Coturnix japonica: one gene and its partner. The protein of the gene in region 1 binds, or shares a complex with, the protein of each later gene. Links are inferred from orthologs where the notes say so. Each region holds a gene or a part of one and is shown in the gene's direction. Other genes may lie near its edges.

Evidence for each region.
Region 2: the proteins of SNTG1 (region 1) and TRPV3 are in contact, whole or in part, in a crystal structure (PDB 7QQN), measured with the Homo sapiens proteins. The link is inferred for Coturnix japonica from reciprocal best matches to the Homo sapiens genes SNTG1 and TRPV3. Residues at the interface, in NP_001274742.1 of Homo sapiens: Arg62, Gly66, Gly67, Phe68, Gly69, Leu70, Ser71, Ile72, Lys73, Gly74, His78, Ser85, Lys86, His118, Glu119, Val122, Arg126; in NP_659505.1 of Homo sapiens: Pro786, Glu787, Thr788, Ser789, Val790.

Annotation. Positions count from the first base shown.
Region 1 is NC_029517.1:98,329,528-98,336,274, forward strand, and holds the start of SNTG1 (gamma-1-syntrophin), read left to right. Parts: upstream 1-3,089; 5' UTR 3,090-3,519; intron 3,520-6,747. UniProt on the Homo sapiens protein: Adapter protein that binds to and probably organizes the subcellular localization of a variety of proteins. May link various receptors to the actin cytoskeleton and the dystrophin glycoprotein complex.
Region 2 is NC_029534.1:5,449,389-5,455,581, forward strand, and holds part of TRPV3 (transient receptor potential cation channel subfamily V member 3), read left to right. Parts: exon of another isoform or gene 1-1,799; coding exon 1,800-1,904; intron 1,905-3,404; exon of another isoform or gene 3,405-3,405; coding exon 3,406-3,492; intron 3,493-3,591; exon of another isoform or gene 3,592-3,593; coding exon of another isoform or gene 3,594-3,598; intron 3,599-3,850; coding exon 3,851-4,008; intron 4,009-4,656; coding exon 4,657-4,833; intron 4,834-4,926; coding exon 4,927-5,067; intron 5,068-5,456; coding exon 5,457-5,737; intron 5,738-6,193. UniProt on the Homo sapiens protein: Non-selective calcium permeant cation channel. It is activated by innocuous (warm) temperatures and shows an increased response at noxious temperatures greater than 39 degrees Celsius. Activation exhibits an outward rectification.

The DNA of each region.
Region 1 (6,747 bases):
AACAAGCTTGAAGTTTATTTTAGTCTAGATGTGGGGAAACAAGAAAGTACATGCTCATAAACTTTTCTGGACTCAGTTGTGGGGATTGTTATCAGCCTGTGAACAGAAATGAAAAATAATAGAAAGTTGTCAGAAAATGGGCATTTATATTTCAGTATAGGGAGTGGCAATAGTAAGATGCTCATAGATGACCTTGTGACTTACTTATTATCAAAGCTGTGATACTTGTCTGTGAGAGTTACATTTGCAGTTCTGCTTGTTCTCTTTTCCAAAAGTGGGTATCGAAAAGAAATCAGTTCTATTCTGATAGAGTCAAGAAAAAAAAACTATCAGTACTAAGAGTTTAACTTCCACCAGTTAAGATTCTGCTTACAGACTGATTGTGTCCCTTTATCATTTTTTCAGGAACAGAACAAGACTTGTTATTATCTAAGAGTTAAAAATAAATCTTCATAATTCTAAAAGAGTATTTGTCAGCAAAGATCAACCATGCCTGGTTTCATGCCTTCATTTGCAGACTAGAGTGTATTTGATATTGCTGATGACTTCAAATTAGCAATGAACTAGGTTCTGTCAAGGAAAGAATAGGTAACAGGGATGAGTTCAGCTGTTCTAAGATGTGAGTGAAAACCAACTGCTGCAGTGATTTTGGATATAAGGGCTTTCCCATCACTCTTCAAATCCTCTACAACATCTTTTCTTATATGTTCATCTTAATTCTCCATTACTAAAGTAGGTTTTTTCCCCGTGCACTTTTTCTAGGCCTCAGTTTTCACCTGTTTGAATTCCAGATCTTCCCCGGTGAGGGTGCTGTAGAATGGACATACGCACCAGTGCAGATGGGTAAATGTAAGAATCACTGCCTACAATCAAAGTGAAGTATACTTTAGCCAGAAAGATTGGGTGCTGTAATGTTGCTAAATGGAAAGAGGACAAACAGTCTCTCATAGATAGATAGTCTGTGTAATTTTACAGAGGATATGATTTGCTTTCTTGTTGGGTGACATTTCTTTTTTTTCTTTCTCTTTCTCTTTTTTTTTTTTTTTTTGAACAATGCCATTTATTCTTTATGTTTAACCCTCACTCCCTCTTAACGCTTCTTCTCCTCTGTCCCTCCATCCACGTTAGTGACATTTGTGGTGTCAGTCCGCTAATGCTGCAGAACCTACCACAGATGGCAGCCCACTACTAGCTTGTTATCCAACATTTCTTAATGAAAATTGCACAGACAACACAAAAGCAATTCTGGCTCACCCACTCTGATTTTTAATGTTCGGTCATGTTCTGGTCCTGAAATATGATTTCTGCTGATGTAAGAATTCCGCGTTGTGTTTGCACTGCCTGAAGCAACAATGCAATACAAAACTAACCTTCTAATCTTGTTTAAAACTGACAGCCAGACATATTTCATACAATCATGTGGCATCAACTTTACAATGTTCGTGTGGTTTGTTAGAGTTCATCTTCAGCACATTCTGACTTCTAACAAAAGTTGTAACTGGCAGTAGTTGTATTGTAACTATGTGCTCTATAAACATGGTAAGAGTTTAAAAGATCTTGCCATGATAATTTTAACACCATTCTCTTGTAAAAATGAATCTTTCTTGCTTACACAGACTTACTCTTCATTGTGACATAGACAAAAGAGATGGGTCTCCAAGAAAGAGGAATTGGAAATCAAGTGTGGGATTGGGTCTAGCAGTTAATGGACTATTTGTATCCACTTGGTTTAAACACTGTGCTCTCAAGGGCTGCGTTGATCTTCTCCACAATGTGTGAGCACAGGGTTACAGTTCTATTTCCGTGTTTGACATGGAAGAGTTTTCAATCAATTACATTTCAGTTATTTCAATTCTCAGACGTGTGTTTAAATTATCCCAGCTCTAATATATGTATTGTTGTAGTCATTTCTTTCCAGTCTTGTCAGGAGAACTGTCAGTTCACACCACTCAATCTTTCAGCAGAGCCACAAAAGGGCAGATAACTTGGTTAGCTCGTAGCTATCAAGAACTCTGTTAACATCAATCAGTATTAAGAAAAGAAGAAAAATAAGGATCTGTATCTCTAGATGAGAACTGAAGTACAAATCTGTTCAATTAGGCATGAAACTTATCACTGCATATTCTCATGCATTTATCAAGTCAACACTTAACTACATTCTTCAGAGCATCTGCATGTAGCTTTCACGAAGCTTTTAAAATCCTTTTCCCTCTCAATGGCTCACTGCACTTTATTGAAGTTAATATTTATAAAAGCGATTCAGAAGGAACACAAACATTTTCGTTTGCACCAGCTCTGTGGAAGAAGAGCACAAGATTCCTAAAGGAATTACAAAGCCTAAGAAACATGTGGAGACTAAAAGGGCGAGCAGAGCAGCTGCGGGAGAACAACGCTTAAGCTCCGTTCACCCGGCTTCCGATTGTGACCACCCTCCGCTCGGCTATAGCGCAACACGTGGATGCGGATAAGGCCACGGCTGCTCTCACCACCCCGCCTGGCAGAGCCCCCCGACGACCTCTTCAGCCCCAAGCCGGGGAGGGGCAGCACCGTGATTCCTCCCCCGCGCCCGCAGCCAGCGCAGAGAGGCGGCTCCCCGGGGTTCCCTTTTTTCTCTCCCGAGGTTTATTTCCCCGCTCTGTGCCGCCTCCGCCCCGCGGTAGCATTGCGCTACGGGGCGCTGTGTGCGGCAGCCGCCCCGCGTTGAGCCCCGAGCAGGGGCCGGGAGCTGACTCCAATGAGCGGGGATGTCGCACCCGGGCCGACAGAGACTCTGTGAGAATCATAAACCCATCACAACACTGAGATAGGGATCGATATGTTTTCTCTCCGGCAAGCGGGCGCTCTGTACCCGCTCAGTAGAAACTGCACGGGAAGTTTGAAGCGGGTGGGAGGAGGGCAGCATCCCTTCTCCGAACACTGCTCCCGGCTTCCACGCGTCCCGGCGAGCTCCAGCTCCGCCACAGGGGACGGCTCGGGGGAGGGCCGCACGTCAGCATCGGTGGGGCGGCGTCACAGAGCGCCCCGGGAGCGGCGGGCGGGGGTCCCGGGCGGGGCCGGCATCGCCGCGGCGGGCTGCGGCCGCGGTGGCGGCGGCGCGCCGCCTCGCCTCTCCTCTCCTCGCTTCGCTTCGCCTGGCCGCTCGCCGCCGCGGAGGGGCGGCGCTGCCTCCCCGTACTCCCCCGCCCGGCGCCCCGCTCCGTCTCCGGGAAGGGCGCGGGGAGCCCCTCGTTGCCCCTCGGCGCAGCGGAGGAGTTGAAGCCGGCGGCGGCAGATCGGTGTGATGCCGTGTTAGCCCCCGGAGGGAAGGAGCACGAGTGGCCGGGGCTGCGGCTGGCATCATGGGCACCGGGCTCGGGGGCGCGGCGGACGGGCTCCCTGCGCGCTCCTAGTGAGCCCGGAGATGTGCCGGCGCCCGGGGGAAATATTTTGGAAATAGCACGGAGCGGTCCGAGGAGGACGAGCGGGGACACCCCGTTTCACCAGCTGAGAGGAGGTCGCCCGGCGGTCGTGTACTGGCAAGTAAGAGCTCCTTTTCTTTCATGTTTTTATTTTAATATATATATGCATATATATTTTTTCCTCCCCGCATCTCGAGTGACTTCTTGCAGCTGTTGGTTGCCTGCACCGGGTTTGGAGTTCAGTCTCCCGGCAGGCTGGGCTGGGCTGCAGGGGAGCGCGGTCCCGCATCCCAAAGGTACGCGCTGCACCGCGGTGCCGGGGGAGCACTGGGTGCGGGGAGCCCGCTTACAGCTGCAACAAATGGTGACTTACAGGAATTAGTGTGAAATGCCTTTTCCTTTCTGCTGGGCTGTAACTCAATTGTAGGAGACTCTTAATTGCTTTCTGGCAGCGGCAGGCTGCGTGTGAGCGTTTCAGATCCTGTCAGGGATTAAGATAGCAAAGCTGGAGTTTTGATTTTGATGCTTTTAACTTTCTGGTGTCCTACCTGGGCATTTCCTCTGAGGTGCTTTTGCTGTGAGGATATGGTTTATTCGGTCTTGTTTGTTTGCTTGCTTTCACCCGTGGCTACCTATTATCGTACTTGGCAGTGCCATGAAACAGAAAGTTGACCGTGACATGTTCAGGATGCAGAGCATGGGCAGCAGGCAGGGGGCTAATTCTGCTCCTGGAGGAACTCCACAGGAACAGGCCCAGGAGTCTGTGATCTCCTGCTAAAACCTCAAAGAGCTCTGAACAGACCTGTCACGCTGCAGAGGACAAACCCTCCTGTTCACTGTTCAGCACAGATAGTGTTTAAGCTAACAACCTGCTTTCCCCTATCTACAAAGCACCTGCCTGTGGAATGCAGGGGATAGAGAAATGATTCCTGTGCCAATTTGGGAGCAGACAGAACTTCAGACTACGTTTAATTAAGTTTGCTGGTATTGATTTCTTTAGCATCTTCTTTCTGAGCCTGAAAACTACAATTCTGTACAGTGACCTTGATGCACGTTCTGTTCGAACACAGGAGTATCACAGAATAAAAGCAGTTATACAGATTTATAGTTCAGCTCTGACACTTCACTAAGAGCTCTGGCAGCGCCAGTTGAACGCAGTAGTTTCAGCAGAGGTATATGGTGTGTGTACAGGCTTGGAGAAATAGCTCACCCACAGGGTAGAAATAAGTTGTGGTCTTAGAAGCTCTTGCAGAAATGTCAGCATGCATGAAACATCTGAGGAGTTTGGGATATTTCTTTTTCTAATCAGAGAGATCTGTAGCAAAAGATGTTTGGGGGCAGTCTTGGAGCTCTTCAGGTTAAGGCACATTGCTTTGCTGACAGGAGCAGATCTTCTAATGGGCTGCAACAGATGTTTTTACATAGATGCTAAGCTAACTGGATTAAAAGCTGTTGACTTGCCAGTAACTAACTCGAGTTTATAGCAGAAAGATAAAGTAAGCCTTTCCGGTAACTGGACGGAGCTCCCTGTGGGTTAGAAGGCAGAAGGGAATGTCATTTGTTTCAGTGCAATTTCAGGATAGCTTTCCTGTGGTTTGTATTTCTAACTGCCTGAAGATACAGTGAAACACAATTAGAATAACTGTTGAAAGATATTGGGACACGAATCAATCCATTACTTTAAACAGCTTCTGCGTCATATCAACAAAGTACAATTTTTAACAAAGTGCTCTTCAGTTTTGTTGTAGTAATTCCTTCCTCTGTTGCAGAGTGGCAGGCTTTCACTAGGCATGTGCAAGGGAGAACACGAAACAGTGAAGAATGCACTGATCTGAATTAATTTGGGCTATGTAATGTAGTGGCGATTTCCACAATTAATATAATTAACTGCTTACAGTTGATTCTATAAATAAGTGGGTTTTAAAAATAGTGTCAGCTTTGTCACTCCTGATACAGATTATGGAGCCCTTTTATTTCTTTTCAGTTCTTCAAATTAATCAAACGCTATACTCGTTCTTTGCCTCAAGAGGAAGAAAACATAATTTACTGATATATCATTTGGCTTTTGCAGTATCTTGCCCAATAGCTATGAGATAATCTAATGAAGGTCCTCGTCACCGAATTAAAGAACATGCTGCTCTAGACTTTCACTTACAGAGAAATTATTGTTACATGGCTGAAGAACCAAGTTTTCACAGAATCTAGTAGAAAAAGGAAACCTTTCTTTTTATGCTGGGGACTTGAAAGGGGGAAGGTAGAACATGAGGTCTTTAAGGATAAAATTACAAAGCAGTGACTTCTAAGATACTGATCAAAACCCTTTATCTTCAGATATTTTCTTTATCTTTGATTTGGAACTTTTCCACATACTTCAGTTTAAATTATGTATAGTTCTTAATTTTAAAAACTAGAGAATGTCCATTGTACCATTTACTGTAAAGCTCTTTCAAGCCTTCTCTCTAATGTGCTTTATCACAGTTTGCTTGTACCTTTTTCAATTAGAGATTTCCAAAGTACAGCACGTTCAACTCTGTGGCAGGGATTTTTATTATAATGTTATGCAGATCTTTTTAATAGAGAGGATATTGACTTGATTCAGAGATTTCAGGTTAAGATATTACATTTCTTTCCTAATTTTTTCTCACCATATTTGCTCAGATGTGCTGTTTGGCTTGTCACGCATAACTTGCATCAACTGACAGAAAGCCCTGTAAGCAAAATTAAACATTATCAACAGTTCAGTAAGGTTTTGCTTGTCAGTCCAAAACAGATGACTATGTTTTTTTCTATGATTCTTAAATATATAAATATATTTATATTTATAAAATAGTTTCTTCTCAGTTCTTCACTCTGTATTTCTCAGAAAAGCACCATTTCTTCATGCTTGTAACTTAGCACTGGTCCTTGTGTCTGAGCCACCATGAACACTATCAGTATTCCTTACCAATAGCCATCTCCAGGTTTGCTTGCATGCACTGTTAAAAAGGTAAGGAGTTGTAGCAAAAAAATAAGTGTTAGATAAGTTTAACATGCAGTCTTTCATGGCCCTTCTCATGGCTGTGCTTTCGGTTAAGTTTTCCAGCAAGAGACCTGAATGTGGGTGGGTTGAATCCCAATTTAAGTCTGCTGCATCAACGTGTTCTTCTGACAGTCTGCTGTGACATTGGCTCAGCATGACTATACAGCTGACCTTCTGTATTTACCTTGAGTTTTACCTGCCACAACTAGAGGAGTCTGAAAGTCTTTTTGCCATTGCGGCTAACCTGATTTTTCTGCATTCCTGTTGCAGATCAGAGAAAGGAGAGAAAGCACTCATTAAAAAAAAATAGAATAGATTATACCTCAAATA
Region 2 (6,193 bases), on another chromosome or scaffold:
TCTAACATTTATAATTTCTTAATAATCAGAAGAATCACTTTCTCTACAGAAATGCTGTTGGAAGTTATTTGAGACCCGTTGCCTGGTTGGCCCAATTTCTCCTTCCAGTGCTATATTCAAATAGAGAAACTCTTTGTTTGAATTATTTCACTTTGCTTGTCGAAGGGGTCGGTGGGGTGTCTGAAGAGCTCATAATGCAGCTGGTACTGCAAAAAGGGGCGATTCCATGGAAGATTTTATAGTTAAAACAAATACTGGCAAATACTGCACTTAATTACTTAATCTCCTAACTCCCATTCTGCTTTGTGGTATCAGTAACAGTAACCCTGGGGGTTTGCCATCTCTCAACCAAGAGCTCAGGGTGTGGCCAACAACATTCCTGTAATAGAAGGAACGAAGATCACATGAATTTTAATGCAGTGGTTTAACGTGTTCTATTAATTACATGTTTCTAAGCTGCTGTACTTCTGTGGGTTCAGAACTTTTCCTTCTGGCGTATGGTGCCACTGCGCATCCAGTGCAGCTCCATGGGTAGCATTTCTCACTTTGACAAGTATTGTCAGTATATACTTGAAGAAAATATATTTACTTCCCATTCCTGAAGCCCCTGGTGTCTGAGTGTACCAACAATATGTGTACAGGAAAACCAAGAGACAGGATGGGAGGAGCACTGCCAGCATTGTCAGAACCTGATAATGTCTGTGGGCAGAGCTTCTGACAGTGTGCACCATGGCCACGTAAGCACTTGGGTATTTTTTGGTAATTGTCCACTTGCTTTGCTTGGTGGATCTTGCTTTTTATTCTCCTTGTGGTATCCCCAGATAACCCACATGTTGGCATAGGGTGGGTATGTTGGTTTCCAAAACAGGCACCACTTCATAGCTGCTGTACAACTACTGCATGCCAAAATCTTCCTTGTGAACACAGTGCTGGGAGAGATACCAACCTGCGGCACAGCGCTCCTGGTGTGAGCAGCTGAGACAGCCCAGCTGAGCCTGAAGAGCAGCACTTCTGGCTTTCTGGAAATGCACTGTAGCCTCCAACAGCTTTTTCCTGTTGGGGCAGATCCTGCACATTATAGTCAGGGAATGCAGAAAGCAGCATGAATCCTGGGCATTTTCACTCTATAGTCTTTCTGCCAAGCTGAGATCCCATTGAAGCAACAGTGATTTACAGCAGCTGTGAGTGTGGCAGAAATGATGGCAGTGATCCTCATTCTGTCCAGACTTTTCCTGTACTCTGAGGAGCACCCCATGTGTAGGTAATTGCAGGGATGCTCTGCTGACACATCTCAGATGTTAAAAGGTCGTGGAGTTTAAACAGCTACACAGAGTGAAATTAACACTTGGATTGCTGTCTATCACTGCTGACGGGTTTGGAGTGATCTACTGTGATGGCTGCTGGCTGGAGAAAGAGGGACTAAAGGTAGTAGATGAAGAAGCATAAGTGTGTGTGTGTGAATGTTTATCCGTCTGTGTCTGGTGCTGCATTCAGCTGTGGGCACAGAAGTGAGGCTCCTTCTGGGCTGCTGGTGTCGATGTTCAGACATGTCAGGATCTGATGTTGTGCCCTCTAAAAATATCTCGGGATCTTTTGCCCATCTGCCAACATGGAAGTTTTCAACTGAGGGCAGAGGCTGGGATCCTTCCAGGGAAAAGCAGCCAGCATTCTGTTAGACAGGTATGAGGGCAGAAAATATTGTCAGTGTTGTTCCAGGTACTTACAGGTATAGAATTCTGCACTTTATGGTTGAATTTGATCTTTTTACTAATAACTTCTCAATGCAATATGTTCAACAGTTCACATTTTTTTCTGGAGATCGAAGGATTTGAAAGCAATGCGACTCCAAATAATACATCTCCCCCTGTGTTTTCCAAACCAATGGATTCAAATATTCGTCCATGGTAAGTTATTGATGCATGTACAACAGTCATTCTGCAAGTGTATCTATTTCATTCTCAGCAGCTGCTCCTTCTCCCTCCTTAGAGCTGAAATTTCACATGGTTTTATGTAGATTTTGGTCACTTCAAGGACAGAGATTTGTTGTTGTTGTAGTTCAGTTGTTGCTGGGTTATTTATCTGTATATACTTCTATCATTGACACTGAATAAATCAGGCCTCAAATACGAATACATTTAAAATCAATGCTAACTTTTCTTTCCTAAGCATCTGTTATTTGTGATAGATGGGGACAAACTCCACGCACCCAATTTTCCGATGCAAAAACAGCAGTTGAATTTAGCAGGCCGTGTTCCCAGCTCTGTGTGCTGCCATCCTCGCTCTGCTGTTCATTAACAACAGAACAACATGTAGATATTGAGTCTGAGATATTTAAGGCAGTTATTTATGCTGAATGAGTAGAGAAAAATGATGAGTAGAATGCACCAGATATTTAAAAATGAAATGGTTCTGAATGCCAGAATTATGAATTAGGGAAACATGAATCAAATGGAGAGTAAGCTCAGAATTATCAATTGTTTCTGTGTTTGAGAGGTGACTGCTCAGCTTCCTGCAATTGTTGATGGTTTTATTGTTGTATCAGAGGAAATGTACCCGAATTTTTCCTTCTCATTCAGGAACAAACCTGCATGAGCCGCACATGCACTTTGTCACTGGGTTTTCTGCAGAGAAGTGATGGTCTGAATAAGAATGGACCCTGAGCTTCCAGCTTTGTTTCAAATAAATATCTGCAGAGCAATGTTGAATCCTTGCATTCTGTCCATACATCCATCTTGCCAATAACTCAGAATCCAGGCTCCCTAATTTATTGACCTGTGAGAGTTCATCAAATCCAAACCCCATAGAAAACAAAAATACAAGTGAGAAAAACGACTGTCGGTCAATTCTGCTGTGAGATCTGTACTTGGGAATGTCTAGAAATGCCATACAGAAATTCCATAATACCAATGCCACTGAAATCCTTTAAATTTATTACCTAAATATGCAGATAGGGCCCAGGCTTTAGTTTCTTTTAGCTGAAATCTCCATTCCAATCAGCTGCAGAATGTTCTTGAGTTGCCTGCAGTGCATCATGTAGTAAACCTTTAAATGACATTCATTGTGTGCAACCCGTGCAGGATTACTGCTTTAACTCCTGCTTTGTGGTAGGGGACAAATTAAGTCCATGAGGAAGATGGTGCATTTCAAGGTGCAACACTGAAGATGTTGCACAAAAGGTGGTAAACACTGAAGAAAAAGATCCCGCAGCTTCAAGATTTCAAATGAAATAATGCAGAGTAAACACAAACAGGACTTTGTAAATATAATAAGATCCTGTGCATCTCTTCCTATTTTCCTCTCCTTTGAAGCAGGCAATCCTGGCACTGACTGGTTCTTAGTGCAGTTTGCCACAATGTCTTCCAGGACCTTCCTGTCTTAGCAGTGATGCTTTTCTTATTCCTACAGTGCATCTGCAAATGGGGAAGACATGGATTCCCCACAGTCTCTTCAGGACGACGTGACTGAATACAGCCCTAACGTAGACAGTTGTTGGTGAGTGGAGATGAGGAGTATTTCTTAGTGCCTTTTCTACAGCTGAAATCTACAATAGTGTAGATGTTACCAATTGTGCTTTCTTCTTTTTCTTTCCAGAAATGAGGTATAAATGCTTTTCTGGATCTTCAGTAATTAAACTTTGAAATAAGCAGCTGTAACCTTTGCTTTTTCAATAACATTTTCTCAGCAAATAAGCAATGTACAGAAACATATTGAGAGATCCATACCGGGACACCCATGTGGAAATGGGGCAAGTCAGTGTGGTCTGGTGCATGTTATTGTGTTTCCTTTTCCTCGTATGCAGAAAATAAAGAAGAGCGACTCAGCAATTTCATTATTGTTTTTGATCATTCAGTGCTAACGCAGCACAAGGACCTGATCAGACGAGAGCCCGGAAGAAGCTGAAAAAATACATATTTCGGGCAGTTTCTGAGGGGAATATTGAAGAATTGCAAGGTCTGCTCGCAGAGCTGAAGGAGCGATCAAATGTTTGTACAAGCATGACTGTGCCAGGTGAGCTGTGGAGTTATCTGATGACTCTTCTGCTGGCATTGCATGTGTGTTCTGCCAGGAGATACCTCAGTGCAGCCGTGACTGGTGTGTGAATCTGAAGTCGTTTGTTTGCAGTCAAATGGATGTCGTTTCTTATTTCTAAATGAAAGTGTATTTAATCAGCTGCTTCCTTGCTACCTCTGAAGCAGCACTGGGGGGTATTTGTCTCTTATTTATGTTACCCTGTGCACTGTATTCCCACAGCCATACCTGAGCTGGCTTCTGCAGCACGAGACTCAAAGCTGATGTGTCTGTTTATTCTGCAGTCAGTCTGGTTGTGGTACAGCCACAGTTTGTGAGGTGTGTAGCATGGCAGAGCAGGCAGGGAAGAAAAGAGCGTTTGGATCTGTCTGGAGTTACGGTGCTGGTGGAATAGCTGGAAAAGAAAGCAAACACACTGGCTGTCTTACTAACCACCAGCACAGCTCTGTATCATCTCACAAAGTACATATAGCTCAAACACAGAGTGAACGGGCAACTGCTTACCAAGTAATTTCTGTTGGTGTGTATCCCTCAGGTTCTTCTCCAAATAAAGATTCAAGCTATTTTCCATCCATTTAATAAATAACGATGGATGCCGTGATCTAATCCCAACATTTACTCTTACAGATTATCTAATGAAAAAATTCACAGCTTCAGATACTGGGAAAACTTGTCTGATGAAAGCTCTACTGAACATAAACAACAACACAAATGAGGTAGTGAATATGCTGCTATCCTTTGCAGAAGAAAATGGTATTTTGGAGAGGTTTATCAATGCAGCGTACACAGAAGAGGCATATAGAGGTACTGCTGTCTGAGACCATTTTCAGGCATGTGGCTGAATATGCCATCGGTAACATCAAATAATTAACGCTAAATACCTGTGTCTTGTTTCAGGTCAGACAGCTCTGAATATTGCCATTGAAAGAAGACAATTTGAAATCACTCAGACCCTCATAGAAAAAGGAGCTGATGTCAATGCTCACGCCCAGGGTATTTTTTTTAACCCCAAACATAAACATGAAGGCTTTTATTTTGGTAAGTAGAAATGGGATTTCTGCAGCAGTTAGGAAGGAATACCCAGAAAAGTAAGACAGCATAGAAAGCAAGCAAGTGTGGATCATTGCTGTCACTGAACCTCGATTATGGAACTTTTATCTCAGGACAGAAAAATGGCACGGTGCCTCTTGTAAAGAGATTTGCTCGAGTCCAATGTATTATTAACACTTGGATGTACTGGTAAAACAGCTGTTGAATGCTGAATGGCAAATTGTTTTAAAGGCTTTTCTAAACCAAGAGCTAAACCAAAAATAACCCATATTGATACATGCTTTTAAATATGAAGATATTTAATACGGTCATTCCTATAATAATAGTTTGATTGCTTGTAGTAAAACGTGAGTACATTTCATATTATAATTCTATAGGTGAAACTGCCCTGGCTTTAGCTGCGTGTACCAATCAACCAGATATAATCGAGCTGTTAATGGACAACACCAGGACCAACATTGCTTCTCAGGATTCCAGAGGAAACAACATCCTACACGCATTAGTTACTGTTGCAGAGGACTTTAAAACTCAGAATGACTTTGTAATCAGGATGTACGATATGATCTTGTTGAAAAGTAAAGACAGAAATTTGGAAAAAGTGAAGAACAAGGAGGGTTTAACACCGCTACAATTAGCTGCAAAAACTGGGAAGTTGGAGGTGAGTGTTATTTCAGTGGTATCTTTAAGTGTCAGGAAAGCATCCAGACTGACCATGTACACAGATGTCAGTGCTCTGTAATGCTGTTTTCCATGCTTGCTGTACTGTATACAAGTATTAGACCAGTTTTCCACTGAGCTAATTGGGTTCAAAACAAAAGCAGTGTTGCTTCTACCCTCCAAGGTTTTCCTCTAAGAATACCCCTCTGTAGAAAATATACACATGATATTAAAGGCAGCCTTCAAATCCTTTCTGTTGTACAGAAACTCAGAATACTAAATATTAATGTTAAATGATGAATTAATGAATGATGAATTCATATTAAATTAATATTAAATGAATGAATATTAAATACTCATTAAATATTACTCTTAGACAATACAAAATCTTCAGATCATTTTAGAAGACTTTCCAGGGCTGCTCTGTTACGCTGCTGTCGCATTTGTCCATCATAGA